Linked DNA regions of Oryzias latipes. Each later gene encodes a partner of the first gene's protein in a complex. Links are inferred from orthologs where the notes say so. Each region holds a gene or a part of one and is shown on either strand. Other genes may lie near its edges. The genes, in order: snrpe, srrm1, plrg1, prpf6, gemin5, snrnp200 and prpf3.

Region 1 (4,222 bases):
CACAGAAAACATTTCTGGAAAAAAACAAAGCCATTTATTCTCAAAGGTTGTAGAGAAACTCACATTTATGCATAAAATCGTAAGCAGTTAACAGAAAAAAAAGACAGGATCTGCAGTCGTCACTGGTGTCACTAGGTAGAGACACTCTGCAGCAAGGTGATGTTGTCGCCCTTTAACATAACCCGACCTGTGAAACAAGGAAAGAAATTTATCTTGACATTTTAAAAACTGACATTCCTGAGTGTATAACAAATAAATACTGACTGGAAAAATATTTCTATGTTTTCCTCAAACAAATATTTTGTTACAGCAGTTCTAGAAACAAAAGCTAACAGTACATGTTAATAAATACAAAGAATATTCAAATTTTTCATTGTAAAATAAATAAATAAAGCTGTTCTAATAACTGCTAAGATCAAAAAATAGTAACTGAAATTTAACAAATTAAACAAGCTAAAGAGTCTTACCCAGTGGCTTTCTGTTCTTGGTCTTCATGTGGACCTCCTCAGCATCATCTAGAACCAGGTTCATGTACTCATCAAAGCCCTGGAAAATAAAATAAAAAGGAAATAATCAATTAACTACTTTCATAACTGAAGCTGTTTGGATTCATTTAAATTCAGGCTCTCAAGGTTTTTCCCCCCCAAGAAAACGGCACAGGTTGTTTGTTTTTATTTCGGCTAAAAACAGCATAATCATAGTTAAAAGATCACCGAGAATGTTCTGAAAATAGATTAAAGTGTCAAGAGTGTAGGACCGGCAATTTCAATTGGTCTCCTAATTCATGCTTAGTTTGTCATTATGCTGTTCTCATTGATCATTTACCTACTGTATTGTGAGTCTGAACCAGTGTGTGTTTTTTTTGTTGCCGTTTTCAAATACATTTTTAAATCAGCTGCAGAGTTCTGCTCTACTGGTAAGAAAGGTGCCCGCTGCAAAAGCAGCTAAAACAGAGCCCCAAAATAGTCGTAGAAAAAATTTCTGCAAAACAGTTTTAAGTTGATTATTGTGGATCTAACACCAGCCATTAAGAACTTTTACCAAGCTCCAATAAAAAAAATAACTAAAATGCTAGGTCAGTGGTTCTCAAACTTTCTCTTGTTCCCCCTTTTGGAGCGGAGAAGGAAAACCTGGAATCGTCGATCGTTTTTACAGTCTATACCAGTTTTAAAGTAACTGTGGCACACATTTGGAAAGTTAACAAACACTGTGAAAGTAAAATAAAGAGAAATCTTACAATGATGCAGCCTTCTATCCGCATGTTCACCTGCTCATAAAGCCACACCTGGATTCGTGAGCGCTGCAAAGCAAAGATGACACGAATCAGTATTTCAGTCACCACCGAGACAAAAGGTGAACCTGCAAGAGCCTTCAATACTCACGTTCTGAAGGTATCTGAAAATGAGGTTCTGATGAACAGAGTCAAGGAAATGACATGTCTAAACCGTTTCAATGTTACAGAAGATATTTCAAATAACATGAACTAGTCATTTCAATTTCAGTAGAGTGACACAAACTGTTTTGCACTTTAACCGGAGAGCTGAGATCCTGTTAAATACCAGTGAATGTCATACATTTCAATGTAAGCCAGTGAAAAAGGACTTCACAAACCAATTACATGACCGAAATGATGAAATAAAGCTATGGATGACGCAGAATTTGCTCGAAAGTCCCACTCAGATCATTTTGATCTATTTTTGAAGTATTATCGGCGGTCTTTTAACGTTAGTTATGCCTTTTACCAGCTTACAGAAATTCTGCAATTGTTCTAGAGTTTTACAGTTTACTATTTAACTTCTGCTGATGTATCCACGTTATAACGTAAACTGTAGGGCAACCATGTCAAAACAACTGAAGACACGCTTAAAAATGGATTTAAAACGGGTTCTGGCATTAGATTTTCTCTTATTTATTGACTTTGTTAGGGGTTTTTTTACGAGTCAAATTTTAATGGTATTCTTAATTTCTTTAACATCTTTTTTATTTTTTTATAGATGACATGTCACTTCATAATCAAGAAAAATAAGAAAACAGGTCTCACACACTCACAGGGACAAACTTGAGTTAAGTTAAAAACCAAATAAAAAACTACAAAATATGACCAATTGTTACAACAAATCAAAAGAACATTTAATTATCAGACCAAAGTAGTGCATTTAACTAATATTATTAGTTTAAGTCGTTAAGTGCAACATCTCGATTGTTGACTTCTTTTTTCACTAAAAGAAAACTCTGCCAAAGGTAAACGTGTCATTGTTTTCTTCTTTCCAATTAAACAAACGTATTTTTGTAAAATGTATAATAGTAAATTGATAACCCATCATATTGCTATGTACGTTTAGAAAATGCTAAAAATGTTTGTTTCAAATTCAATTTCTTTCGAAGTACAACGTCGTGCTTAAATTTGATCGATAAACAGAAAAATACGTGCTTCAATACTGAAATTAAAAAAAGTCAGTAAATATGCATTCCAATGTATTTAGAAAGTCATGTAGTACCTAGAAAAAAAAGGAATACAGTTTACCGATGAGCAAACACGAGAAATAACCGATTAGCATCGCTGCTAACAAATGCTAACAGCAAAGAAAGGATACAATGGGCTGCACCATAACCTTCTGCACCTTCTGTCCTTGTCCTCGGTAAGCCATTCTCTTCACACGCAAAAAAGACACGCAAGAAGTATTTCGTTAAAGAAATATTGCCTTTTACAATTGAATGATTTCAACGTTCAGCTCACGATGCCAAGTTGCCTTAATGGCGGGTTTCTTTCCGCATCCGGTTCCTGCACTGAAAGGTTTCCCTTCACCGAACAAGCGCCACCTACAGGCAGGATGTCAATACTGCACAATTTGATATTTGGTCAAAAATTACGTTCAGTGTGAAATCCTTCAAATATGCAGACTAATTATGACTTATAAAAAGTATGAAAACACATCTGGTACCAATTAAAAGGCTAAATTTAATAATTAAGTTGTTTTTGAGTCACCATATTTTTTGTCAACGTCTGTTTCAGTACATATTTATTTCTTAATCCTGAAGGGAAAAATACAAAGGTTTTGCTTCGACTTTTTTCTTGTACATTTTCAGTAATCGTTTATTTTTGCTTGGATTAATTTCAGTGATTAACACAAGTACCAATAATATTTGAACAGCTTTCATATAGCAGAAAAGAAGGTTTAAATATTGATACATCAACTAGTTTGGATATAGCGTCATTTACTTCATAGATGTTCAATTGTTGGATGTATATAGTCTAATTTATCATTTAGATTTTTATTTTTTTATTTTCCTATTACACATAATATTAACAAGCATACAGATATGTAATTACTGTAGTTGTTTTTGCAACACAAATTCAATAAGTGAAAATTGTTGATAATTTTTGTAATTTTTCCATAATTGTTCAAACTTTTTATTATTATTATTTTCTTACAAGTAATTTTGTTTTCAATATTAGAGTTTAATTTTGTAAACTATTTCCTAAACATTTATCTTGACCAGGTTCTACTGTCACAGCAGTGACCTATTTTATCCAAAAGAGGGCAGCAGAGAAAAACAAAAACATAAGAAACAACTCGAGCCCAAGATGAACATTAGTAAAAGGTTTCACTTCACTTTCCTTATAAATAAACTTAAAGTTCTAATCTGAGTTCTACAATAAACATTGTTAAAAAGTGCAGTCGATTTAAAGAAGTTGTCTATAAAAGTATTTAGTCAAGAAGGTGAGAGGTACAAATGATTCTTCTTGTTCAGTAGTGTTCTTTCTTCAAAAAGGTTTAGAATTTATCGCATAACTTTTGTTTTTGATTAAATGTGAAATATATTTTCACCTGCAGATGCAGACCTATGAATTTAGCAGGAACATGAGCTCCATTGAGGAGTGTTTTTTCCCCACCTAAGATTTTTGTGAGCTAAATTAAGAATATAAAACATAAAAACATGTATGTGACTTTCTAATTACATGTGTGTTAAATTAAATTAAATTAAACCCCACTCTCTCTCACACACCTAAGTGTGCGAAATTTGTTTCCGCATTTGACCCATCCTGGGGGAGCGGTGAGCTGCAGACACAGCTGCACTCGGGAACCATTTTGGTGGATTTAACCCCCCCAATCCAACCCCTTAATGCTGAGTGTCCAGCAGTCTTTGGTATGACTCAGCCTGGGTTTGAACCCATGACCTTCCAGTCTCAGGGCAGACACCCTAACTCTGAGCTGGTTAG
Region 2 (3,619 bases), on another chromosome or scaffold:
TCAACACACAGAATGTGCTGCTTAGAGAACAAAAACTTTTTTGCACTACGATTTGGTTAAAAATTGCAAATTACAATGCTGTTTTTGCCTTTAAACAAAGGTCTGTCTTTAAAATCACATGCAGTTGGGCTAATTTTAAACTTGCGTATGTTTAGTTTGATTTTTTTAATGTATTTTTACATCAATGCAAATTGTTGAAACATAATAACTGAAAAGTATTGCATCTTGTAGCTCACCTGCCATGCACCAAAATAACTCATGTTTGTTGGTCTAGAGCAGTGTTTTTCAACCAGTGTGCCGCGGCACACTAGTGTGCCGTGGGAGATGGTCAAGTGCGCCGTGGAGAAATTGCCCTCATTAACTGATCTAAAAATGTTTTCCATCTCCAGGAAATAAACTCTTTGTTCATCCAAACAGGCCCTGATAAAACACTGAGTAGTTAGGAATATAAAAGATCTTAAAATTACTTTTTCTTTGTGTTTATTTAATTCTATTAAAGACATTTTGATAAGAATCACGGTACCGCGATTTAGCTGCAGCTATAACTGTGTAAGGAAAAGTCCCGTCCCTTTAACTGTCTCTGCCAATCATTCTTGAAGGCTTAATCACATGTCATCAGTCTGACCAATCAGAAGTGGTTAAAGTCTTCACTTCCTTGTTCTTAATTCTGCTGATAAAGTCGCTCAGTTCTAACAAAAATACCAGCTAGAGCTCGTCTTTAGCTGGGGGGGGGCTGTCGATCAATACAGACCATGAATTTCTGCTTTTGTTTTTTTGGATGGGTTAAAGTGTGCCGTGGCTCAAAAAAGGTTGAAAAACACTGATCTAGAGAGCTAACAGTTACAGGAAACAAGATGAATGTCAACATTAAAGACTTTTTTTGAGGATCTTAAGGCAGTCTTCACAGGTACATCCCCCCCCCGCCTTTTTTTTTTAAATCTACATAAGACATTTAAGGTTGTCTTTACAAGTTACATCTGTTAATAAAATAGAAACATGCCTAAACTGATACGTTATATTTGCGCTGCACATCTTTTTGGAGATTGGAGCAATATTACATTAAACTGGAGAGTCGATAACATAAAACTTTTAGTCAAGATGGTGGTGAAACAATACTTTTCAGTCTGATACACAGTGATGAAAGTCAGGTAAGGAAAAAATCCCTGAACTTTTCTTTGAGCGATATGGCGGGCACAGAGCGAAATTTTGGAAAAATACGTGGTCTTAGATGTATTCTGGTGCATTCTGGCAGCTAGTTATTCACTTCTTTATCAAGAAACTAAGACTAATTGGAGCATCATGATTTGTCATTCAAACCCCTAGTTTGACTCTCCATTAAGGACTTGCTGGTCCCAAAAAAGAATTTGGAAAATTGCTCAAAGTAACACAATCCTACAATCTATGCTTTTCCTTAAAGCTGCAAAACATACAATTGCTAAAATATAGTAACATCAAAGCCCCAAATGGCAAAAAGAACACCAGTAACTATGATATTCTATGAAAATACCTCAGTTATTTATACATTATTTCTGCTTTAGAAATGACTGATGTACAACATCCACTTGCACTGTTTTCTCAAACTATAATTACATCAAAATATGGGATCTGCTTTAAACTTTAATTCTATAACATAATACATCAATTCTTTAACACCAATACTAAGTAATCTGGGAAATATCAAAACAAACATACAAACTAAACAAAACATTGTAAACATTATTTTTTAAGGGAGTGCGGGTCCAAACCATCAAATACTTATAATTAATGTTAACTATACTGAACTAAATCATGGTAATTAGGAAATACAAATAAATTAGATAAAGAAATGTATTCAAAATAAAAACTGAAACTCAAAACTAAAATTGAAATTATTTCAAAATGTGGTTTTGAGATTATTTTACACAAAAAAGTATTTGACCTACACTACCTTAAAAATCTTTTTTTTCCAGCCAAGACCACTTCAATTTGTTTTTTATCGTCTTCTCACAACTGAGGTCGTGACCACGCTCAATAATGACGATGCCTGCCATTATTTTAACACAAATTTGATCGCAAACTCTTCAGATGTGTTTGTGAAAGTTTAGCGTGGGTCCGCCAGTTTTGGTCTCTAGGGAAGCAAGTCACGCTGACCACGTGGTGCAGACAGAGCCAATCAGACCCATCGACGCATCCGAAAGCAACTAAAACGTCCCGTCATTGGTCAATTAGGCCGGGAAGACGAGAGATGGCCACGACCATAGAGGAAGCGATCTGCGGATAAATATAGAAAATAAAGCTAAAATTAGCTGATTTCAGACCATTTTTTAATCCGGAAAGCGATTTGTCCGTAGAGATCAGGTCTTTATTTCCCGGAAAGTACGTTCGGTTTGCTCAAAAACCCGGATTTCCGGGAATTCCCGGAAGACTTTCATCACTGGATACAGTTAAAGATAAAGACTGATAATGTTGAAAACAGGCTTCAAACTTTACGCCTTCTATTTTTGTTTGAGTCTCCAGCTATTTTTAATGGGATCTCAGCAATTATGAACTGCAAAGTCCTACAGAGAATACAACTGTTCAAATCTTCAGCTGTGCCTTTCACAGACATGAAATAGGTGATCCCTGTAACCAAAACTCACCTCAAACCACAAACTGCATCATGAAGGGAGAGTTGGGCTCTGTGACTTTGGGCTCAGGAGAGAGCTAATTAGATGTTGGTGCTATACTTCTGATGCAAGGTTTAACATCCATATTGGTTCAGGCCTTTTAAATCATAAATCACATCATCATTAGAAAACTGCTGAATAAAGGCACTTTGTCAAATAACAGCAAAACATGTCAATGTCATAAATCACTTTTACACCAATTTGTCTCTTTACCCATTTACTTTCAGGAGTATTATTAGGATGATTTACTTGCTTGCATCCCTTCTTACTGGCTACAAATTGCCCTAAAAATAATCAAAGCTGTAACAAACCAAAACAAAGGAGAGACAATTTCAAACATTACCTTCTCCTCGAGTTGGTTGAAAATGAACTCAATGACCACATCGTCTTCAAATCCCAGAATCTCTGTCACACGCTGAGTAATCCAAGGTTTGATGACTTCTAGGTTCACTTTGGTCATGTCCACCTGAGGGAAACCAAACAAATCGTCAAGTAAACCAGTGACTAAAGACAAAACAGTCCATGTTAAAGAAAGAACAACATAAACATTTAAACTTGAAACATGTATATATACTCATTATTTTTGGACCCATATTTCTACACATTGATTTTAAGACTTAGAATAGAATTTAAAGTCCTACTTTGATCATCTTTTTATCTTATGTAAACATGTTTCCAGTGGTCTTTTCATTATGATTGTGTTGTTTATAGCCAGAATTAATGCATTAATAATAATAAATAATAGTCTTATTGTTTTCTAGTACATAATTCATAGTATTAGTTCATTGAAATGTGCTTCCATGTTGTGGACGGGACTGTTGGTGCTGAGTAACCCTCACATCTTCCCGTCATCCATCTGCGTGCTTTGCTGCGAGCTTACAGCCCCTCACAACCCCAACCTAACATTAGTTGTGCAACCAAAATGCCGAGCAATATTGGAGCTATCCAGTCGTACAGTTTTGAGCCAGATGCCA
Region 3 (4,148 bases), on another chromosome or scaffold:
TTCTTTAAAAATATTGGCATTAAAAAAAAGAAATTTCCTTTCCAGGGACTAATTGTAGAATTCCTAATTCTAACAATTATAGTCTGACTTCCTTGTTTTTGCCACGATTTCAGACCCTCATGGTGTATTTTGGATAAACGAGGAATGTTTTTCTTTTTTGGATCAGTGTCCTTAAATTGAACTTTTGTTTACAGGGGCGTTTACATTTGTTCATACACAAAAGAACTCAAAAGTGTTTTGCTTTCTCCAAAAACCCCAACTATGGTTCCTATGATAAAACAAAAACAATTTTTTTCTGCAGCTCTAGACATTTGAGCAGGATTATTTTTAATACATCTGTATTTATTTATTTAAAGATCTGAGCTTTGTCACTTCTTGTCTGTCATGTAGGATTTTTCTTCCATGTGTGACATATATAAAGAGTAATGAGTGGATTCCGATCTTACCCTCGCTGTGGCATCTCTGCTGCACGTCATCAAGACATCAATAGTTGGATGAAGGTCCAAATCATACACAGCACTGAGGTGGCCATGATAGTGCCGGATTACCTAAAACACAAAATACTCATGTCACTAAAACACCAAAACTCTGACGTATGAAGAAAAAGAAAGAAATGACTGAACTTTTTGTCTTTGTTTATATTCAAACAGCCCTAAAATGTTTTTTTTTAGAGATATTGTGAAGAGAAGCTTGTACCTTGTTGTACTCTAGATCCCAGCATTTGACTTGCTTATCCTCTCCGCAGGAGAAAAGGTACGGACTGCGGCTGCTCACCGCCACTCCACGCACTGTACTGATGTGTCCAGTCAGAGACAGTTTCAGCTTCCCACTGGCCAGGTCCCAGATCTGAAGGAAAAAGCAAGTCTCATGATATCCTTTCCCTGTAACAAAACACTCCTGGTTCTTTTTTTTTTTGCTGTTCCACCTCAACAAATGCAAAAAGGAGAAGAAAAAAAGCTTTGTAGTGTAAAAACAGTATAAAAACAATCAGAACAACGTATTGTATAAATAAAATAAAAAATAGAGAAGAGATAACCTTTATTGTTCTATCTGCAGATCCTGTCACAAACCACTGATTTCCAGGCTCCACAGCGATGGACCTGACCCAGCCCAGGTGGCCGCTGATGACCTGTCAGGTGACAAAAACCTTTTTAGTAATCACGTGAGATGTTGCTTCCCCTCCGTCACCGGATTTGACACAACTGAAAAGGAGTTCAAGGATAATTTGCAGTTACTCTAAAGAGTTTCCAGGGAGGATGCCACTGCGGTTTGGGCATGACCGGCGTTCTCCTCAAGAGGTTGGAATTTCTGGTGCCGCCTCCTTCCAAGAGCAGCTGCAACGAACAGATTGTTGCGTTAGAATTTTGTCAACCAAGACTGGGTGAGAAAAAAAAGCGCTTAAGAAGCTTGTGATGTACCAGAGCGGTGGACTGAGCGTGAGCTCTTTCTGCTCCACGACGGATCTCTGCAACTGTGGCTGCAGTGCGGCTGGACTCTTGTCTAAAACAGCCATCAGAAGACAAAAAATAGATATATCAATGAATCCCGAAAAGTTGATTCAGTACTATTTGTATTGATTGACTGAACAGGATTACCTTGCTTGTGATGGTGGTAAAGCCAGAGCCAAGGAGTGGATTCCTGACTCACTGGGGTTTCTGTGCACTTTTGTGTCAGCTGTCAGGGCGACTCCTGTTGGGTTAAAGACATAGATAATAAAAAGCTGGCTAAAAAAATGAATAAAGTTCCTTTAAGCTTGGCTAAAAGGAAAGTATTTACCAGGTCCAGAGGGATAAGCGTGCGTTCCCGTGATCAGATATTCAGGATCATCTGCTGAAGTTGTCGGAAACCAAAGACAAACAAGAAAAAAAAGTCAGATTTTTACAATTTAAAACCAAAAACACTGAACGGTGATGCTTCCCACTCACCCGGCTGCATGTAAGCTTCGTTGTCGTGGAGACCGTCTGGATACTGTGACATCCTGTCCTTTCCTTCTTTTAGCACTGGCATGTGTAACACAGGACTGTAGTCTGCCTTTAGCTTCACGGCCAACTTCAACTTGTGGCTTAAAACGAAAAAAAAAAAGAGGAGCTTCAACGCAAACCCACCCGTGTGCCCACGTGAAGTGGAAACATATAGACAAACCATCTCCAAGTGCCAAAGATGTTTATAATCAAAACATGAAAAAATATATTTTCTCCCAATGCATGCCTAAAAGGTTAAAGTAACCCTTTTGATGTGAACTATTGCATAATAAACTAATAAACATATTATGAACGCACGATTAGCATGACCGTGAGTTTTAACTAAAGTGATGATACACATTTTAAATACAGAAGTCATAAATGTAAAAGCTCAGTATACCTTTCATCATCTAAAGCGACGGCTTTAGCATGGTCAGCCACGAACATGTCATGAGTCCTTTTCAAGGATCTGAAGACCAAAGTGTGGACTGAGTGTTTCTGGACTTCCTGTAACAATTAGAAGGAAAAAAAAGTTTACTTGAAAGACGAGTCCATGTGATTTATCAGGGGGGATACACTACAACGTGTGAAGATTCAGAACGTTAACATCCAGTAGTTAGACGGGTCCAGTGCTGTGTGAGTCTAAAGCGTGGACCAAAGAAAATCAAATAACTCAAATAAAGTCTCACCTCGGTCATTGTGGCGATAATAAAGATTGATATCACACTGCAGTTAAGTAGTTTTCGGTGAATATAATCCACGAACACCGTAGGTGTAGCAAAGCGACAAAAACAGTCCACCGCCGCGACAAACGAGTCTGCATGACCCGGAAGTACAACAGCCTGAAAGGCTAAAAGATTTATTTTATGAGCGCCCTCTGGCGGTACGTCTCATCCCAGCGTCTCACAGTGGCGGAGATTATGTTTTTCTATTATCAAGCCCCCATTTTTCGCAATTTCTCCGGGACGTTTTGAAATACATATACATATTTTAGGGGGTTTCAACATTTTTTTTAATTATTCAGTAAAAAGGCAAATTTAAACAGTTCTGTGCCGTTTACACATTTGGTGCAGAAATAAATTAAGGGTTCATATAAAAAAATAATAATAAAAAATAAAACATTTTGTTTTTGATGTGAAAAAGAACTAGTGTCTGGGAATTACTTATTCCCCTTTGCTAATGACCATTCTTCCAGCCTCTCATACATGTAGGCTGGACACTACTGAGTCTGCTCTATTTAGAAGTTCACAATTGTTGATTTTATCCACAAGTTGGTTTGATTTGTTTTAGTTTATTAATCTTTTGCTGTTAAATTTCCCTTTTAAACCAATTTTATTATTTATTAAATATTGTTTTAATAAAAAGGTTTCACAAAAAAAGCAATGAACTCATTTATTAAGAGATGAAATAATTTACAGTAAATATTTCAAAGGAAAATTTGATTTGGATAAATTCCTGCAACAACCAAAGCAGCCTGAAAATAGTACAATCATCTAATCTTATATAATTGGATTCCAGTTATTTCTTGGTTGTCAATGTATTATTAGTGCTCTGAAGATACATTTTCAGGTTTTTCTTCAGTTCTTGCTGTCCTTATCTATGCTTGTAATTTCATTTTCTACCTCCTGCCTTTGATTTCAGTGGTTCACAGCACAGTTGATTTTCATCAAAGACCTGAAAATTGTGTTTTCTGTGTTTTTAACATGTTCTTCAGCCATTTTTCTCATGATGGAGGACATTTATAAAGAAAATTTAGCTGCAAATTGCATTTCGGAGTATTTCTTTATTCAAATGTAAATCAGGAGCAGATAAAAAAATACTGTTTGAAAAAGGTTGCATTTGATATGCAGAAAATACCCTAGGTGGGTCAGAAGCTTCCTGCTCTGTGCTTTGGGGAAGGGGGGCAGGATTGCTCCACACCAACAGTCCTGCCCACAACTCAGAGGTGATTTTCTAATGACTTACTGTTGCACTGCAGAAACTATGTCTTAGAAAACGATACGTTTTTCAATTTGTGCCAAAAAGTGGCACAATTAAAAAGCACAGGGAACGCTTTTCTAATAGATCAAAAGACGATCAGAGTGGAACTTTAAGCGTTCTGTGTTCATAGGGCCTCTTGATTTGACTCTTTTTGGTGTCAAACTGAATATTCGTTGGCATAACTCTTCCACTGACTGGCCCCTGTTT
Region 4 (3,619 bases), on another chromosome or scaffold:
GAACCACTCCTCTGTCGACCCTTTGCAAGGAGTCAGTAAATACGCGCACACGCACAAGATCCAACTAGAAGCACTGAAAACCATGCATCATGCTGCAGTCCCAGTTTAGTCCAGCAGGGGTCAGGAAACTTCACCTAAAACAGTCTTAGCAACTGCCAAATGTTTATGATACTGCTACTTTGTAGCTTCTGTACAGCAGCCGTGAGCTGATGGGTATTTGGACAGTAACAAGATGGAATTAGTTTATTGGTTTTAGTGCTTTATAACTGCAGTCCTGAATTCAGGCTGTGGAACTGTGGCCCTCCTTTGGCTTGTTCTTCTCTTATTATTCATTCTTATTCTTTCGTGCGTTTTTTTGTCCGTTCATATCTTCTGCATATTTTATCTGATTTCTGCCATTCAAGTATCAAAATGTCCTGCAAATTGAGGACATTATTGCTATCTTCTGCGATTTCTGCTACAACTTATGGTTTTTCTGCAATTCAACAAAATTGCTGCAAAATGTTGCCATAGAAGTACATAGGGGAAGGCTCTTCAGCAACTTCAAACTTACTGCAAAGCTAACTTCTGCATACTTTATGCCGTTCAAAAAATTCAAACATGCATTTGTTCTGCTCTTTTGTAGACTTTTCTGCTGTCTTTAAACCATTTTGGTAACATTTAAAGTTTTTCAAAATTTTAAGTTGTTTGAATTTCAAATATAATGGAAGTCAATGGAGACAGTGCTTCAACTTCTCTGTTTTTGAAATGCATCTCCTCCTATAATTTCTCAACAATTATTTTAATCTGACGTATAGTTGAGACACAGCATCATTTTGTTTGGGACATCTGTCCATCTCAGACTCTGTAGCGTTTGTGCCTACGTAGATGACATATACAGCTGCGAGCAGTCCTGGAATTTGAACCCGTTGCCATGGAGACAGCACTCTCTTTCAGACACGCACAGACACACTGAGACGGGCTTTGCAAAAGTTCAGGGGACCTTTGACACTTTCAATGACACATAGATGTTTTTTTATTCAAAGTTTCAAACACAAATCCCCGTGTTTGGAATAAATTCTGTTTGTATGAACAGCTTTAACTAGCATAGCATTAAACCTTTATATTAACATCATGCTAGCTGTAGGTGCAAATGTAGACATTCCTTTACATTTTTGTTATGTAACCATTACATCTACATTGTGCTGGCTCACTTATGTTAGATCATTTAATTTGACATCTATCAAGGGTTTTCAAGCTAATTTGGCATTTAGCTAAAAATTTTACAGGTTTTTTTGCAATGTGAATTAATTGCAGCATTATAATGGTGATGTCTTCTGCAGCTTGGCAATCCGAAAACCTCTGCAGATTTTACGCAAACAGCTTCAGCAATTTATCCAGCCTTTTTCTTTTCAATACATTTCAGCTTCCTCTGCTAAAAGTTATGCGATTAAGCCAATAAAAGCAACCACCTTTTGCAATTAGTCAGTTAATCGTATATACCCAGGAAATGCAACTTTTCTAGTTATTCTTGGCACATTTTTTGTCATTTTCAGTTCACAGCATAGAAAAGCAGTTTCACACATTTACAGTTTGTTCACATTATATATTCTATCTTGTTACACTTGTGAGGGAACTGTAATTGGAAACCGAATTCCCTGGAACAATAATGCTCCTTCTCTTCTAACATTATTTCCTGTCTGCACTAGCTGGGGGGCCTGAACACACCTTACCCTGGGAGCATGACCCCTGGTCTGATGACACCTGGAACAGGAGAACTGGATATGAGGAAAATTGGTCAGGCCAGGAACACTCTCATGGATATGAGGCTCAGTCAGGTATGCTTTTTGTGTAATTCAGTATGACTTCCTCTTTAATCTGCTTGTGTTCTGCAGTGATATGGATAATTGTTCTGTTGCGTTTGACTTTTGCTGTGCAGGTGTCAGATTCTGTGAGCGGGCAGACAGTCGTGGACCCTAAAGGATACCTCACAGATCTGAACTCCATGATCCCAACTTATGGAGGAGACATCAGGTAACGACAGCGCGGCCGTAACTTCTTTTCTTTTATACGCGTTTGTGATCCCACCATCAGATGTTTCCACTTCCTTGCATAACAGATAAGATTTTCTATGCATTAACCAAAAAAAGCATCGGATAAACCTTTTGTGTGAAAGAAAGTGGGAAAGATTAAATCAAAGCGCTATCTAAAGCTGTGCATTTTTCTAATTTTTATTTTTATTTTATTTGGTAAGTGCGAACTGTAAAGTTGGGGAGATAGCTTCTAAATTTGCATCTCAATGAGTAAGAGGTTCCCGGGAATGTGGGAAGTTGTTGAGATTGTCTGTTTTTGATCATTTGTATCTAACTCTTTGGGTGCAGTGACATCAAGAAGGCTCGCTTGCTGCTGAAATCAGTGAGGGAGACCAACCCCCATCATCCACCTGCTTGGATTGCTTCGGCCAGGCTGGAAGAGGTCACTGGTAAACTTCAGGTGGCGAGGAACCTGATAATGAAAGGCACAGAAATGTGCCCAAAGGTAAATTTGAGGTTATTGCAGGCTTGATCGAAGGGGTGTGACAATCACAGCATCACCGCATCGGTGATGACCGCATCACAGCACGTTTTTTTCTTCTGCATATGGTGTGTGATTGGAACTAATAAACACATTAAACACATTCATCTTTGCTGATAATTTACTTTTTCTGCTAGTCCCGTGTTCAGACTTCAGGGGCTTCTGGGGGAAACCTTTTATTACTGTTCTCCTTCACTCCCTGCGCGGCTCTCACTCCCTCTTGCGCCCCACACGCTCCCTCTCCTTACACACACGTGCGCGGTTTCAGCAGCACATACAAATCCTCATTGTACAACAGAAATTCCGTCTCGCGAGGAAATGCGACAAATTTACTGCGTTCTAATTATTCATTTCCATTACAAGTTGCGTGGGTGGTGGTGTTTATTACTGTTCTCCTTCACTCCGTAACACCAAACACGAACGGGCTCTGTTAGATTTCGATGAATATCACTACATGTTTTGTTTGGGAATTATTTCGTGCAGCGCAAAGTTACGTGTCTGTATAAACAAAGGCGGAGCCTCCCGCCACGTGTTCTTCATGGGTGTCAGGCTTCATGGCTACCGGAAAGGTGACAAAGTGTCTGCAGTCTGTTTATTACTGGGCAATATATAATATTCTGAGAAGATGTCTGTACCAGAGAGCACAGGTGAAGCCTTGCTTGCAGCTCCAGAGCGGTCCGCTGCAGAAGAATTAACACACTTGTGTGCTCCTTCCTCCTACATACGCAGCGTGCTGACACACATACACATAGTCATTCTACAACACCTATATAGTTAGTTCATTAGGTGGATAGGTAGTAGTTAGTGGTTACTGTTATTTGTTAATAAAGAATACTGCGTTGTAATTGTATTCATTTGCAACGCAGCCGCGGGGGTATTTTGTGTTTGGCCGGGGGGGGGTTAACCGCCACACCGCCCCCGCTGCTGGTTCATCACCGCGGTGATCAAAAATCCCACACCGTCACAGCTCTACTTGATCGTCTGTAAAATGTTTTATTTTTGAATGAAAATATTTCACTTTATTGTGGTATCTATAAATGCAAACCGAACTTTCTAGCATTTCAGT
Region 5 (3,619 bases), on another chromosome or scaffold:
GAAACTCGCCGCCATTCTCAGCCTGAAACGGCAGAAACTCGCCGCCATTCTCAGCCTGAAACGGCAGAAACTCGCCGCCATTCTCAGCCTGTAACGGCAGAAACTCGCCGCCAGTCTCAGCCTGAAACGGCAGAAACTCGCCGCCAGTCTCAGCCTGAAACGGCAGAAACTCGCCGCCAGTCTCAGCCTGAAACGGCAGAAACTCGCCGCCAGTCTCAGCCTGAAACGGCAGAAACTCGCCGCCAGTCTCAGCCTGAAACGGCAGAAACTCGCCGCCAGTCTCAGCCTGAAACGGCAGAAACTCGCCGCCAGTCTCAGCCTGAAACGGCAGAAACTCGCCGCCATTCTCAGCCTGAAACGGCAGAAACTCGCCGCCAGTCTCAGCCTGAAACTCGCCGCCATTCTCAGCCTGAAACGGCAGAAACTCGCCGTCATTCTCAGCCTGTAACGGCAGAAACTTGCCGCCAGTCTCAGCCTGAAACGGCAGAAACTCGCCGCCAGTCTCAGCCTGAAACGGCAGAAACTCGCCGCCAGTCTCAGCCTGAAACGGCAGAAACTCGCCGCCAGTCTCAGCCTGAAACGGCAGAAACTCGCCGCCAGTCTCAGCCTGAAACGGCAGAAACTCGCCGCCAGTCTCAGCCTGAAACGGCAGAAACTCGCCGCCAGCCTCAGCCTGAAACGGCAGAAACTCGCCGCCAGTCTCAGCCTGAAACGGCAGAAACTCGCCGCCAGTCTCAGCCTGAAACGGCAGAAACTCGCCGCCAGTCTCAGCCTAAAACGGCAGAAACTCGCCGCCAGTCTCAGCCTGAAACGGCAGAAACTCGCCGCCAGCCTCAGCCTGAAACGGCAGAAACTCGCCGCCAGTCTCAGCCTGAGAAGTTTCCTTCAAGAGCCGCCCCCTCAGCATTGCCAGGCGGCTGTCTTTACTCAAGTGTGCTTTTAAGAGCATCCCGACGACCACAAAAGCTGCTTTTCCTTTTCCTCGGGTCCCCATCGTCCCACCTTGATGTCGTTGGTGTCTTTGATGAGCCTGTCGATGTCCGTTGCCTCGCTGCTCAGCTTTGCCGGGTCGTGCTGCAGAATCACGCCTTCGCCTGCGCAGCTGTACAGGCCGAAGCTCTGCTTTCCCGCTGTACCTGAACGGTTCACATGGTTTGGTCAGTGTGAACCTCTGCCGGAGAGACTAAACAAAGTCTCCCTTTCCCAGTGATTTCTAAGTATTGATTATGGCCTTTTATAAACTGATTCATTCGTTAAGCTGGAAAAAGAAAATGTCTTTGAGCTGAGGTGAAAGGTCGTTGTTTGGCGTCAGAACGTCCCACAGAGACTTACCGAAGGACAGCGGGGGCACGGGGGGCCCCCAGGCCAGCGTGTACACAGTCTTCCTGTGGTAGGAGCTGGATATCTGAGGAGGCCTGAGAGGAGGAGGAGAAGAAGAACCGTCAGATGGCGGGAAAATGACTCCAGGAGGTTCAGGAGCAGACGAGCTTCATCGCTCCAAGTCCATCCCAATAATAATTGATACTTTATTTATCCCACAATGGGAAAATTCTTCTCCACATTTGGCCCCGTCCCCTGGGGGGAGCAGTGAGCTGCAGACTGGCCGCGCTCGGGGGGATCGATCCACCGACCCTTTGGGTGTTGGACGACCTGCTCTACCGCCTGAGCTACACTGCTGCCCTCAATGGTCATTCAAGCCGGTTTTCCTTCCTCACACTGGGTTTGTCAGCTCCCTAAGACATGAAACAACCTCCTCCTCCATCATCATCCTCATCATCATCATCATCATCATCCTCCTCCTCCATCATCATCATCATCATCATCATCCTCCTCCTCCATCATCCTCATCATCATCATCATCATCATCCTCCTCCTCCATCATCCTCATCATCATCATCATCATCATCCTCCTCCTCCATCATCATCCTCATCATCATCATCATCCTCATCATCCTCATCCTCATCAAAAGGAGTTTGGATCGTCACAATCCTATTCAGGGGTCCATTTGTGAAAGCTCAGATGCTTCTGTCTGTGTTCTGCTGAAGGTCCCGGTCAGGGGGAGCAAAGACTGCTGGGTAAAAACATCCAGCTCCAGGAACAGGTGCAGACCATGTGAGCGGGACCTTCAGCAGGAGCTCAGGAGGCTGACAAATGTTAGCCATGTTTCTGAAAACCTGTGTCAGAAAAGCTGAAGGAATCGATGCCATCCGTACCTGCTGGAGAAGACCTCGTAGATTCCCACTTTACCGTCTTCTGTTCCAAAAGACAGGGTTCCCTCTTTCTGGGGGTGCCACGCCAGCTGCAGAGACAAACACAGGAGTCTCACTTTATGGACTCAAACCGACGCCAGAGACGACATCACTTCAAACGTTCAAACGCTCCTCCACGTCTGCAGCAGGAGCATCAAACCTCTGACTCTAACAAAGGGTCGGCGGTTTGATCCCCGCTCCCCCCAGTCAACCGTATATGCCCCACCAGTCTGCCCCAGGGCAGCTGAGGTTACATCAGTAGCTACCATCACCAAGTCTGACTGAATGATGGACACTCTGGAAGAACGCTGAGCCTCTGGAAAAGCAGATCTAATAATCAAATCTATACTTGTTATAAAATCCAGATTTATAATTCTAGTTTTTCACTGTTGTTCTCTGCTTTCTCCCTCAAAGCCCCTCAAAGGTCTGAGCACCAATAGAGCCCCCCAACATGGACCCCCGCCTTCCAGAAATCTCTTTACCGCAGTCACTTTGGACTTGACGCCTTGCCAGAAGGTCCGGATGTCGTACTTGTTCTGGCTGCTCAGAGTGTTCCACACCCGGATCATGTTGTCCCCCGCGCCCACCGCCAAACATCCTGCACCCACAGGGGAGAAGGTCAGGGAGTACACCACGCCCCCCAGGGAGAAGAGGGTCCAGCAGCAGCTGAGGGTCTTCAGGTCCCAACATTTGATCTGAGGATGGAGAACAAAAGTCACAGATCTGACCTGCAGGTTTCCCTGGAGAACACCTGAAGAAGGGAACGCTAAACGGATTCATTCATAAAAACCACTAAAGGATCCGTCTTCCTGTCATGAACACACATAACTATTATTACTGCAGATCTAACAGGAGAAATCCGCTTTCATGCCAAGATCTGGGAGCTGCTCGGAGGATTTTATCATGAATCACAAAGCAGTTTTCCTTCAGCCTTCACCTCTGCAGCACAAGAATCGGACAACTTCATACTGAAAATGAAGAATAGCTGCAGAAATCTGAACGAAATGGAAGAAATTTCTGAGTTTGAAGCCAAAAGATCTGATTCTGAAATCAGATCTTTTGTGTTTAGCAGGAGAAGACTCGCCTCCCGGTCCATGGAGGTGCTGAAGAGCAGCTCCCCTCCGTCCTGCAGACGCAGCGAGCTGGTGTTGAAGACGATCCGGCTGTGGTTCTGACCCTCTGAGGAGGACCCGAACAACGTCCAGCGCTGCTTCCCGCCTTTGGTCAGGTCCCACAGCAGCAGCTCTCCGCTGGGGGAGCACAGAGGAACATGAAGGTGCGGTCGCAGCTCCGAGCGGGACGCTGCCGGATCTACCTGAAGCAGCTGGACACCAGCTCGGTGGGTCGTCCCGGGGGCCAGAGGACGCTG
Region 6 (3,619 bases), on another chromosome or scaffold:
GTCATAAATGGGATAATCCACATATCTGAAAGAAAACAAAACAAAAATGATTGAAAATATATTTCTGAGCCGCTATAGAGGTTGGGACAGCCTGATCCTTACGCATGGATTTTTCCATTGTAGTACTGGGTGTCCATGACAATGACCAAATGTGCAGAGATGCTAATTCCCCAGCAGAGAGAACGAGAAGAAACAACCACCTGGACAGCACCTGGATGAAAGAATTACCATCAATCATTCAGAAATTTATTTTTCTAATGCTTTGCATGTTGATGAAAAATTCTTCTCGTATCAACAATGAAGTCCAGGAATGAATCATACCCGAGTTGAACAGCTGTTCCACTATTTTGCGTTCAGTTGCTGACAGGCCTTCATGCAGATATCCCACACCATTGGCCAGAGTCTCTTTCAGAGTGGGATCATTTATTTTCTCCAGGAATGGTACCAGGTCTTTCTCGGTGCAATGCAAGAACCTTCAAAGAAACAGGTTTCACCTTTGTGTAAAGATTTGATTCCAAACCCAGAGAGTGGAGTCACATCTGGTGACCAACCTCTGAGGAACCACGTCGGCGGCGCAGAAAGTGAGGATGTCAATGGCAGTGAGGCGGGTCTGTCGGCGTGACGGTACGAACACCACCGCCGGCTTGGATGGGGAGTGCTTCATGATGGCATGATAGACTGGCTTGGCCATGGAAAGCAGCCGTGTCTGAGTATGACTGACGTTGAAACCCTGCAGGAACAGAGAAGGTCCATGTTAACAAAAGGATCCTGTATTTGTGGCTTTGATCATTTACAGGTAGACATGTTAATGAACCTGAATGTGCAGCTCCAGAGGCACAGGTCTGACATTTGGGTGGAAATTAAAGGTGGCCGTGGTGCTGCAGCCCAGCCAGTGAGCCATGTCTTTGGCATTGGACAGAGACGAGCTGAGGGCGACGATGCGGATGGGACGCTCGATTTGTGAGGAGATGTACCTCATTCTGGAGCAGATAACCTCCAACACCGGCTAAAAACACAACCAAAGTCCCATCGATTAGACAATCTACATACAGTGATGCAAACACCTGCTGTTTACAGAGACTAAAACACTTCTTACTCCATTTTCTCCACCAATAAGGTGTGCTTCATCCACAATGAAAAGGCTGACGTTCTGCACATTCTTTCTCTGTTTCCAGCGACGAGACAAGATGTCCCATTTGTCTGGGGTGCTGATGATGATGTCCCCTTTCCCCAAAAGCTTCAGATCGGTGCTGGTCTCCCCAGTTAGGAGCACCACCTTCTTGTTCAGGATGTCCTGGAACTTCTGATGCCAGTCAACAAAGACCTGAAAGAGAGAAGCCATCATGAAGCTACAAGCGGTCCGATTCTCCAAATGGATGTGGGCTTCACAGAGTTCTTCCATGACATTGTACCTGCTCAGCCAGTGCTTCCATGGGAGTGATATACACACAGCGGCCTTCTGTGTTGTGCAGCAGCATTCTGAGAATGGCAAACTCCGCACAGATGGTCTTTCCACTCCCAGTGGGAGCTCCCACAAACACATTATCGTCACTGTTGTACACGGCATTGAAGACTGATTTGGAGAAAGGAGTAAGAAAAGAAAAAGATGTGAATACAGAGCTCTGGTTTGAGTCAAACAGATCAGTCTGAAAATGGGATATTCCATCTTTTTGTCTGGGTTTCGTTTTTCCAAATACCTTGTGTCTGAATTGGATTGAAGAACGGAAACTTGTTCTGGTAGAGAGCTTCAAAGGCAGAGTTCCTGAGAGCAGTGACGGGCAGCGGCTGCAGGTCCAGCAGCTCAGTGGGTGGGGGGTACTTCTCTGGCAAGATGAGGTGGCGGAAGGACACTGGGAGCTGAGTCTCACAGGCTGAGAGAAAAACAGAAACGAGAAAGGTGTCAGGCGAAGTTGTACAGTGGAGAGCAGAGGAATTCTGCATTGCAGTTCTCTTTGAGCTACTTACAGAGCCATCGGTCTGAAACCATGCGGATGAAATACTGAGGAGGCAGAGGCTCAAACACGGGGACAAAGAACGTCACCAGATGTTCGTCCTGGGCGTACTTGGCTTTAAGGAGGAAGTACTCGTGGTGGAGGATCACTTCACTGTCAACGTCCTCCACCAGGATCCAGAAAGCTTCAGATGATCCGTGAATCTAAGCAGAAAGGGAAGCTTAGAAACAGGAAAAGCTTTTCAGAAGGGAAACGTCCCCGAGTTACAGCCACAGACCTTATCGTCCCACTGGAAGTCAGGCGTGATGGTGAGCTCCACTTTCAGAGTGGAGCGAGTGATGGGCTGGAGATGAACGGCGAGGTCCAGTCTTGGGAACTGATGGACGTATTTGTGAATGGTCTTCCCCATCTTTGGCATTCGAATCAGTTCGCCTACACAAAGAGGAAGACAACAGCTTTTTCAGTGTCCTGCAGGCAAAGGACAGCATAGAATGAAAATGCTTCATGAAGCGAGAAACTCACCAATCTCATTGTGGTTGAGATCGTACAGACGCTCAAAAGGGAAGTTTTTCTTCTCAATCTTCTTGACCACTTCCTCTGGCAGCTTTTTGAACTGACGCAAAGGAGACATCGACTGCCACCTGTAGGAAAATCAGAACATAAAGCATGAGAATCCAGCTTCAAGATAGAAAATGTATTTCTTTAGTAACATAAAAGACACTTGCATTCTCTTGTCGATCATCTTGCACAGGTTCATGGTCTTATCTGTGAGCTGAGCCCAGCCTCGGTTTAGCACGATCTCAAATATGGCGCGCATCAACCGTCCAGCACTCTGAAGAAAGAGAACCGCATTATTCTTCAGGCAAACTAATGTGCAACAATAGCTGCAGTTACATAGACAAAAGTAATCGGAATAAACGCCTGATCAGAATAAAAATGCGTCAAGTAAACACTTTGAACAGACTCATTTGGATCAAAATGTCCTTCTGATCGAGGTAGGCGTGTTATGTCGAATGTTGATCCGATCGTGGTGCATATAAACAGTTTTTGTCGATCCTGGGTCACTACGGCTTTGGCTTTTATGTCATGCACACACGGTGTGGTGCTCCAGAGGCTGCTCCGCGCGAGCGAGCCACATCTGTGAGCAGAGCAGCCGGACTCGTAGCTTCGTGTCTCCAAGCAGAGGAGCAGCTTCAGAACGGTGTGTGAGATGGCGGAGGCAGCTATTGAATGCGGAAATGCACTGCACTGAGCAGTCCTGAGAAACCGCGCAAATAATTAAGTGAATTTGTGTTTTCAATCATGTCCAGTCAAAATAAAGGCTGACGTTATGCCCACATACCTATGTGCAGCCAAGATGCACATTGCAGCATTGACCAAAAGGATTTTAACTGCATCCACGGCCAAATGTTGTTAGCACGTATTAACCTAATCCTAACCCTTCTTCTGGGTACATGCAGCCAAGAATAAAGCACTGGCTGCACATATTTAGAAAATTATGAGCATCAGGCACTTAATAATAATAACAATAATAAGAGCACGCTTAAAAGATCTTAAAAGAACTCGCCATTTCTTCTTTTATGGTCATATCCGGTATTTTACATAGTTCTGCGCATGTCAAAATGATTTATTATGATCAAAAGTGTGCCATATGTAAACAGTTATAA
Region 7 (4,403 bases), on another chromosome or scaffold:
TTTGTCCAGCCCTATTTCATTAGGTTTTTTTTTTTAATAATTCTGTCAATCAACAACTCAGAAGTAATGGCTGATTTTGATTATTTAATTTTCAATTAATTTGAATTTATAATTTTATTGTTACTTTTGAACGTTTAAAGTCATTTCAGTGAGCCTTGTGGACTTTCTTTCTTTAACTGAGGGATACCAACAGTTTTGTCCACCACTATTTTAAAGGTTCATTGGGACAATTATTTTAATGTATTACATTTTTCTAGTAAGTGTAAATAGCTTTGCAGAGCATTTTTACAAAAGAAATTGCAATTTGTTAGCACTGACATGGATTATTATACAGAGAAGAGCCACTGTGTGGTAGCCTCAGGCTCACCACTGCTCATTCAGGCTCGCTCTACTACAAATGCACTCAGTTGACCCACATCACGCAAACCAATAGACACCCAGGGGCGGATCTGGAGTGGAGTGGGAAGGAAAGCACTTGATAAGCCAAAGATTTTTTTTTTTGGGGGGGGGGGGCTTTTTTTTGTAAGTTGACCGAGTATCTAAGTGCAGTGCTTGAGTAATGTTTAACTTAAGACTGAACTTAAGGGTTATGCGTAGCCTAAGCAGAAAATTGTGATTTACCATTCAAAGAAACTTTTCACTTCATGAACAAAAAGATGATGCCACTACATTTTGGAACTGCAATTAAATTTGCCCATGTCTTAAAATGCAAAAATCTCCTATATTGTGGTATTACAGTTTTCTCTTACGTTTGGTTAGATTTTGTTAGCAGTGGTTTAAAAAATGTTTGTGTTTATCTGTGGTAACACAACTACATTTTACTAGGACAGAAATTAAAATGCAAATACTTGCATTGCTCATTTGTATAAATAATAGTTATAATTTTCATAACACACATGCAGAAGAACACTCACAATGCATAATAAACATTGTTTTTATCACTGAAATTACTATTGTAAAATATATTATAAAATGTGCAGTATAAAGTACCTTAAAAAGGTATTCTGCTTACTAAATGCAAGCTACTTATTGAATAGGCTAACGTTTCTCAAGTTTAATTGAAACAAAAAAAGAATATAAAAAAAAAGAAACAAAAAAAAGAATATCAAAAAAAAGAAAGAATATCATGCAATCTGATTGTTTAAGTTTCACTTTGGACTATTTCCTATAAAATATGCCTTATTTAATCAAAAAATGTATGGAAGAAAATATTTGCACATAATTTAACTTTGGCCAGCTAGGCAAATACATTTTCAATCCCTTAACAAGACTTTACAGACAAAACAATTCCTTTGTGTTGTCAGCTGTCAGGTGAATTTCCTTGACTTGCTGAATTTTTGCTAATATTTAATGAACACTTTTAAATATATTATAGAAGCGGTTTTGACTTTTATTTTTTAAAGTGCCTTTATGAAAGCGCATAAACAACTGCAAGAGAAATGACATAGATGGCGAAAATCAAACAAAGCACGGTAAAAAGACTGAGAAGGATAAGTCGAGAAGAAGAATTTACGTCATTTCCTCTTCCGGGTCTCGTGGAAGAAACGTTACATGTACGGAGCGGCTAATCAGAAAGTTTGAAAGAAATGTTCAGGCTTTAGAGATTTGTACCCTTGAAATTAGATTCTTTTTGTGGGTAATTTAGAGTATATCTAAAGTAAAGAGGATTGTAGACAAAACTGAGAGGTTTGTATCCACCTTTAAGCCGCTATTAGCAGATTTCGGTAGCTCCCAAATGTAGCAATATGCTAACGTGTGCTAGCAGCGGTCGATGAGTTTTGGCGCAAGTAGCTAGTAGAGTTTAGCTTGTTTGCTATTTTGGTTAGTCTGGTTATTGATATGTTTTGATATGAAGCAACATTTTGTTAACTTAACTTTCATTTTTTATGACAAAAGGCAAACTTGTCCTCAAATGTGTTCGACATTTTTGACACGCAGGAGGGTCTCTCTGTGTCATGGCTTGTGATTAATAATGCCACTTGTGTAGCTCTCACTCATCAACTTTGTCAACAATAGGACTCCTGTTCCAACAAGAACTAAAAAAGACATCTGCGTGCTGTGTTTTGAAGGGCAGAAGGATGTCTCTTCCCAAGCGGGAGGTGGAGGAGTTGAGACCGTGGGTGGAGCGCACTGTGAAGAAGGTGTTGGGGTTTTCAGAGCCCACGGTGGTCACTGCAGCTTTACACTGTGTGGGGAAAGGATTGGACAAAAGGAAGACCACGGGTAAATTCCATGCTCATTTGCATGAAGAAAGAAGTTTTCAATCATTAGTAATTAATTCTGTTGTGGTTATTTTCATTTTTTTGTTCTGTTTTATTCCATCTTTGATGACACAGTTACTTGTGCATTTCTGAATTTAAGCGTCTCTTATTCATCTTGTTTTGAGGTTGCACATTAAGATAGTCTTATAATATAAAGCAAAAACAAACTCGTAAAAAATTTTAAGAGATTCTTTTGTTTGTCAAATGTTTGGTGCTTTTAGCTTTCCCGTAAACATTTGCTTATGATTACAGTCACTAATGGTCTTAGTCTAATAGTGTTTTTCAACCGTTGTGCCGTGTGATATTACCCATTTTCACTGATCTAAAAACATTTACCAAATCTAGGATATCAGCTCTGTGTTCATCCAAACAGGCCCCAAGAAAGCACTAAGTAGTTGGGAATATGAAAGATCGTAAAATACTTTTTTCTTTGTGTTTATTTGATTCTATTAAAGACATTTTGATAAGGCTGCACGTTGGCACAGTGGTTAGCACTCTTGCCTCACAGCAAGAAGGCCCCCAGTTCAAGTCCCAGCTGGGGGAACCAGAACATCAATGGGGGACCTATCTGTGTGGAGTTTGCATGTTCTCCCCGTACATGCGTGGGTTCTCTCCGGGGCCTCCGGCTTCCTCCCACAGCGACCTCCCACCTGTCCGTTCATACAACTCTAAATTGTCCCTAGGTGTGACTGTGAGAGTGCATGGGTGTGTGACCTGCGACAGACTGGCAACCTGTCCAGGGTGTCCCCTGCCTTCGCCCACAAGTGATGGGCTCCGGCAGCCCGTGATCCCGAAAGGGACAAAACGGAAGAAGATCATGAATGAACGAATGGCGGTACCGCGAGTTAGCCGCAGCTTCAGCTCTGTTTTTGGAAAAGTCCCACCCCTTTAACCCCTCCACCAATCATTCTTGGAGGTTTAATCCTGCGTCAACAGTCTGACCTCTCAGAAGTGGTTAAAGTCATCACTTCCTTGTTCTGATTTAGCTTTTTCCACTACATTTCCCATGATGCATTGGGTTAACGTGACAGCGTCTCAGCGGACGAGTCTTCCCTGTTAAACGTCTTGAAACCACAACAAACACACATCAGTTTTTAAATCTTCTTTATTAAATCAAAGGTCAACAGTTTAGTTTTCTTCAAGGTTTGTGTTTTTTTAATAACATCCAAACATCCCAGAGTTTGGTCCAAGTCATCTTTATTAATGAAACATTTTTCTTATAAGGTCTGTAAGAAATAGGATAATGTTGAAGTGGCCGAGAGACACAATCAAACAGAATTGAAACAATTTAATAATCTAAAAAGAAATAAAACATTTCTGTTAAAGTTTTCAAAGAATTAATCTTTGATTAAGACAAGAGAAAAACTAATAAAACTTCAACATGTTCACTTTTGATGTAGCTACAGAAAACATAAATATGTTAGTTTTGGTGTGTAAAACTTAACAATCATATTGTGATCATATAACTGTTCAAAAATTACAGTTGCCTTTGCACCAACATTGAAAAAAAATTGTAAAAAGTATATTATTTAGAAAGAATGTATTTGTTTTTTTGTGAGGTTACATGAAATTGCATGTTAATAAACTGGAGGGGAAAAAACATCTACCAGGGTAAATTTTCAATTAATTTATTTGAAAGTTATTACGGAAAACTAACTTAACTTTTATTACATCTTTTAGAAAAAACTGCTGCAACTTCCAGCTTTTTTGCCACAATTATCACAAAAATGTCTGTGATTGCGGAGGGACTGTAAATCAATACAGACTATAGAGTTTCTCCTTTTTTTTATTTTTGGATGCTTGTGTGCCGCAGGAATTTTGTCAAGGATAAAGTGTGCCTTGGCTCAAAAGAGGTTGAAAAACACTGGTCTTATATTAAGAAATGATTATCAACGAACTGTTGAATACATTGTTAATCATTTGACTCTTAATTGTCCTCAGACCAGTTGCGTCCCTTCCTCGAAGACTCAGCTGGTGGATTTGTTGAACGTCTTTTTGAAGCTCTTGAGGAAAGTAGAAGCAGCCGTGGCAGCAAAGGATCTGGAGAAAAGAACCGGAAGAGAGAACTTAAGGTAAATTAATGAATAAAAATTAATGATTTAGGCCTGCACAATATATTGCAAATTTATCGTTATTGCGACA

Evidence for each region.
Region 2: snrpe (region 1) and srrm1 share a complex: the UniProt entries of both Homo sapiens proteins name them as parts of the minor spliceosome. The link is inferred for Oryzias latipes from reciprocal best matches to the Homo sapiens genes SNRPE and SRRM1.
Region 3: snrpe (region 1) and plrg1 share a complex: the UniProt entries of both Homo sapiens proteins name them as parts of the minor spliceosome. The link is inferred for Oryzias latipes from reciprocal best matches to the Homo sapiens genes SNRPE and PLRG1.
Region 4: snrpe (region 1) and prpf6 share a complex: the UniProt entries of both Homo sapiens proteins name them as parts of the U4/U6-U5 tri-snRNP complex. The link is inferred for Oryzias latipes from reciprocal best matches to the Homo sapiens genes SNRPE and PRPF6.
Region 5: snrpe (region 1) and gemin5 share a complex: the UniProt entries of both Homo sapiens proteins name them as parts of the SMN-Sm complex. The link is inferred for Oryzias latipes from reciprocal best matches to the Homo sapiens genes SNRPE and GEMIN5.
Region 6: snrpe (region 1) and snrnp200 share a complex: the UniProt entries of both Homo sapiens proteins name them as parts of the U4/U6-U5 tri-snRNP complex. The link is inferred for Oryzias latipes from reciprocal best matches to the Homo sapiens genes SNRPE and SNRNP200.
Region 7: snrpe (region 1) and prpf3 share a complex: the UniProt entries of both Homo sapiens proteins name them as parts of the U4/U6-U5 tri-snRNP complex. The link is inferred for Oryzias latipes from reciprocal best matches to the Homo sapiens genes SNRPE and PRPF3.

Annotation. Positions count from the first base shown.
Region 1 is NC_019863.2:23,629,237-23,633,458, forward strand, and holds snrpe (small nuclear ribonucleoprotein E), read right to left. Parts: upstream 2,818-4,222; 5' UTR 2,649-2,817; coding exon 2,595-2,648; intron 1,410-2,594; coding exon 1,383-1,409; intron 1,301-1,382; coding exon 1,238-1,300; intron 547-1,237; coding exon 468-546; intron 188-467; coding exon 132-187; 3' UTR 12-131; downstream 1-11. UniProt on the Homo sapiens protein: Plays a role in pre-mRNA splicing as a core component of the spliceosomal U1, U2, U4 and U5 small nuclear ribonucleoproteins (snRNPs), the building blocks of the spliceosome.
Region 2 is NC_019880.2:16,877,991-16,881,609, reverse strand, and holds part of srrm1 (serine/arginine repetitive matrix protein 1), read right to left. Parts: intron 3,112-3,619; coding exon 2,989-3,111; intron 2,743-2,988; exon of another isoform or gene 2,619-2,742; intron 1-2,618. UniProt on the Homo sapiens protein: Part of pre- and post-splicing multiprotein mRNP complexes. As a component of the minor spliceosome, involved in the splicing of U12-type introns in pre-mRNAs. Involved in numerous pre-mRNA processing events.
Region 3 is NC_019859.2:20,801,044-20,805,191, reverse strand, and holds the start of plrg1 (pleiotropic regulator 1), read right to left. Parts: upstream 2,809-4,148; 5' UTR 2,660-2,808; coding exon 2,651-2,659; intron 2,469-2,650; coding exon 2,362-2,468; intron 2,063-2,361; coding exon 1,926-2,062; intron 1,831-1,925; coding exon 1,777-1,830; intron 1,690-1,776; coding exon 1,596-1,689; intron 1,501-1,595; coding exon 1,419-1,500; intron 1,335-1,418; coding exon 1,236-1,334; intron 1,130-1,235; coding exon 1,037-1,129; intron 847-1,036; coding exon 697-846; intron 549-696; coding exon 447-548; intron 1-446. UniProt on the Homo sapiens protein: Involved in pre-mRNA splicing as component of the spliceosome. Component of the PRP19-CDC5L complex that forms an integral part of the spliceosome and is required for activating pre-mRNA splicing.
Region 4 is NC_019865.2:15,463,961-15,467,579, reverse strand, and holds part of prpf6 (pre-mRNA-processing factor 6), read left to right. Parts: coding exon 1-31; intron 32-1,688; coding exon 1,689-1,817; intron 1,818-1,918; coding exon 1,919-2,013; intron 2,014-2,360; coding exon 2,361-2,517; intron 2,518-3,619. UniProt on the Homo sapiens protein: Involved in pre-mRNA splicing as component of the U4/U6-U5 tri-snRNP complex, one of the building blocks of the spliceosome.
Region 5 is NC_019872.2:29,399,072-29,402,690, forward strand, and holds part of gemin5 (gem-associated protein 5), read right to left. Parts: coding exon 3,566-3,619; intron 3,501-3,565; coding exon 3,335-3,500; intron 2,946-3,334; coding exon 2,733-2,945; intron 2,301-2,732; coding exon 2,215-2,300; intron 1,416-2,214; coding exon 1,333-1,415; intron 1,137-1,332; coding exon 1,003-1,136; intron 1-1,002. UniProt on the Homo sapiens protein: The SMN complex catalyzes the assembly of small nuclear ribonucleoproteins (snRNPs), the building blocks of the spliceosome, and thereby plays an important role in the splicing of cellular pre-mRNAs.
Region 6 is NC_019867.2:18,369,289-18,372,907, forward strand, and holds part of snrnp200 (U5 small nuclear ribonucleoprotein 200 kDa helicase), read right to left. Parts: intron 2,785-3,619; coding exon 2,678-2,784; intron 2,594-2,677; coding exon 2,475-2,593; intron 2,385-2,474; coding exon 2,230-2,384; intron 2,156-2,229; coding exon 1,966-2,155; intron 1,872-1,965; coding exon 1,698-1,871; intron 1,574-1,697; coding exon 1,413-1,573; intron 1,325-1,412; coding exon 1,097-1,324; intron 1,007-1,096; coding exon 815-1,006; intron 731-814; coding exon 552-730; intron 474-551; coding exon 322-473; intron 212-321; coding exon 103-211; intron 26-102; coding exon 1-25. UniProt on the Homo sapiens protein: Catalyzes the ATP-dependent unwinding of U4/U6 RNA duplices, an essential step in the assembly of a catalytically active spliceosome. Plays a role in pre-mRNA splicing as a core component of precatalytic, catalytic and postcatalytic spliceosomal complexes.
Region 7 is NC_019874.2:18,946,628-18,951,030, forward strand, and holds the start of prpf3 (U4/U6 small nuclear ribonucleoprotein Prp3), read left to right. Parts: upstream 1-1,510; 5' UTR 1,511-1,686; intron 1,687-2,069; 5' UTR 2,070-2,078; coding exon 2,079-2,223; intron 2,224-4,202; coding exon 4,203-4,333; intron 4,334-4,403. UniProt on the Homo sapiens protein: Plays a role in pre-mRNA splicing as component of the U4/U6-U5 tri-snRNP complex that is involved in spliceosome assembly, and as component of the precatalytic spliceosome (spliceosome B complex).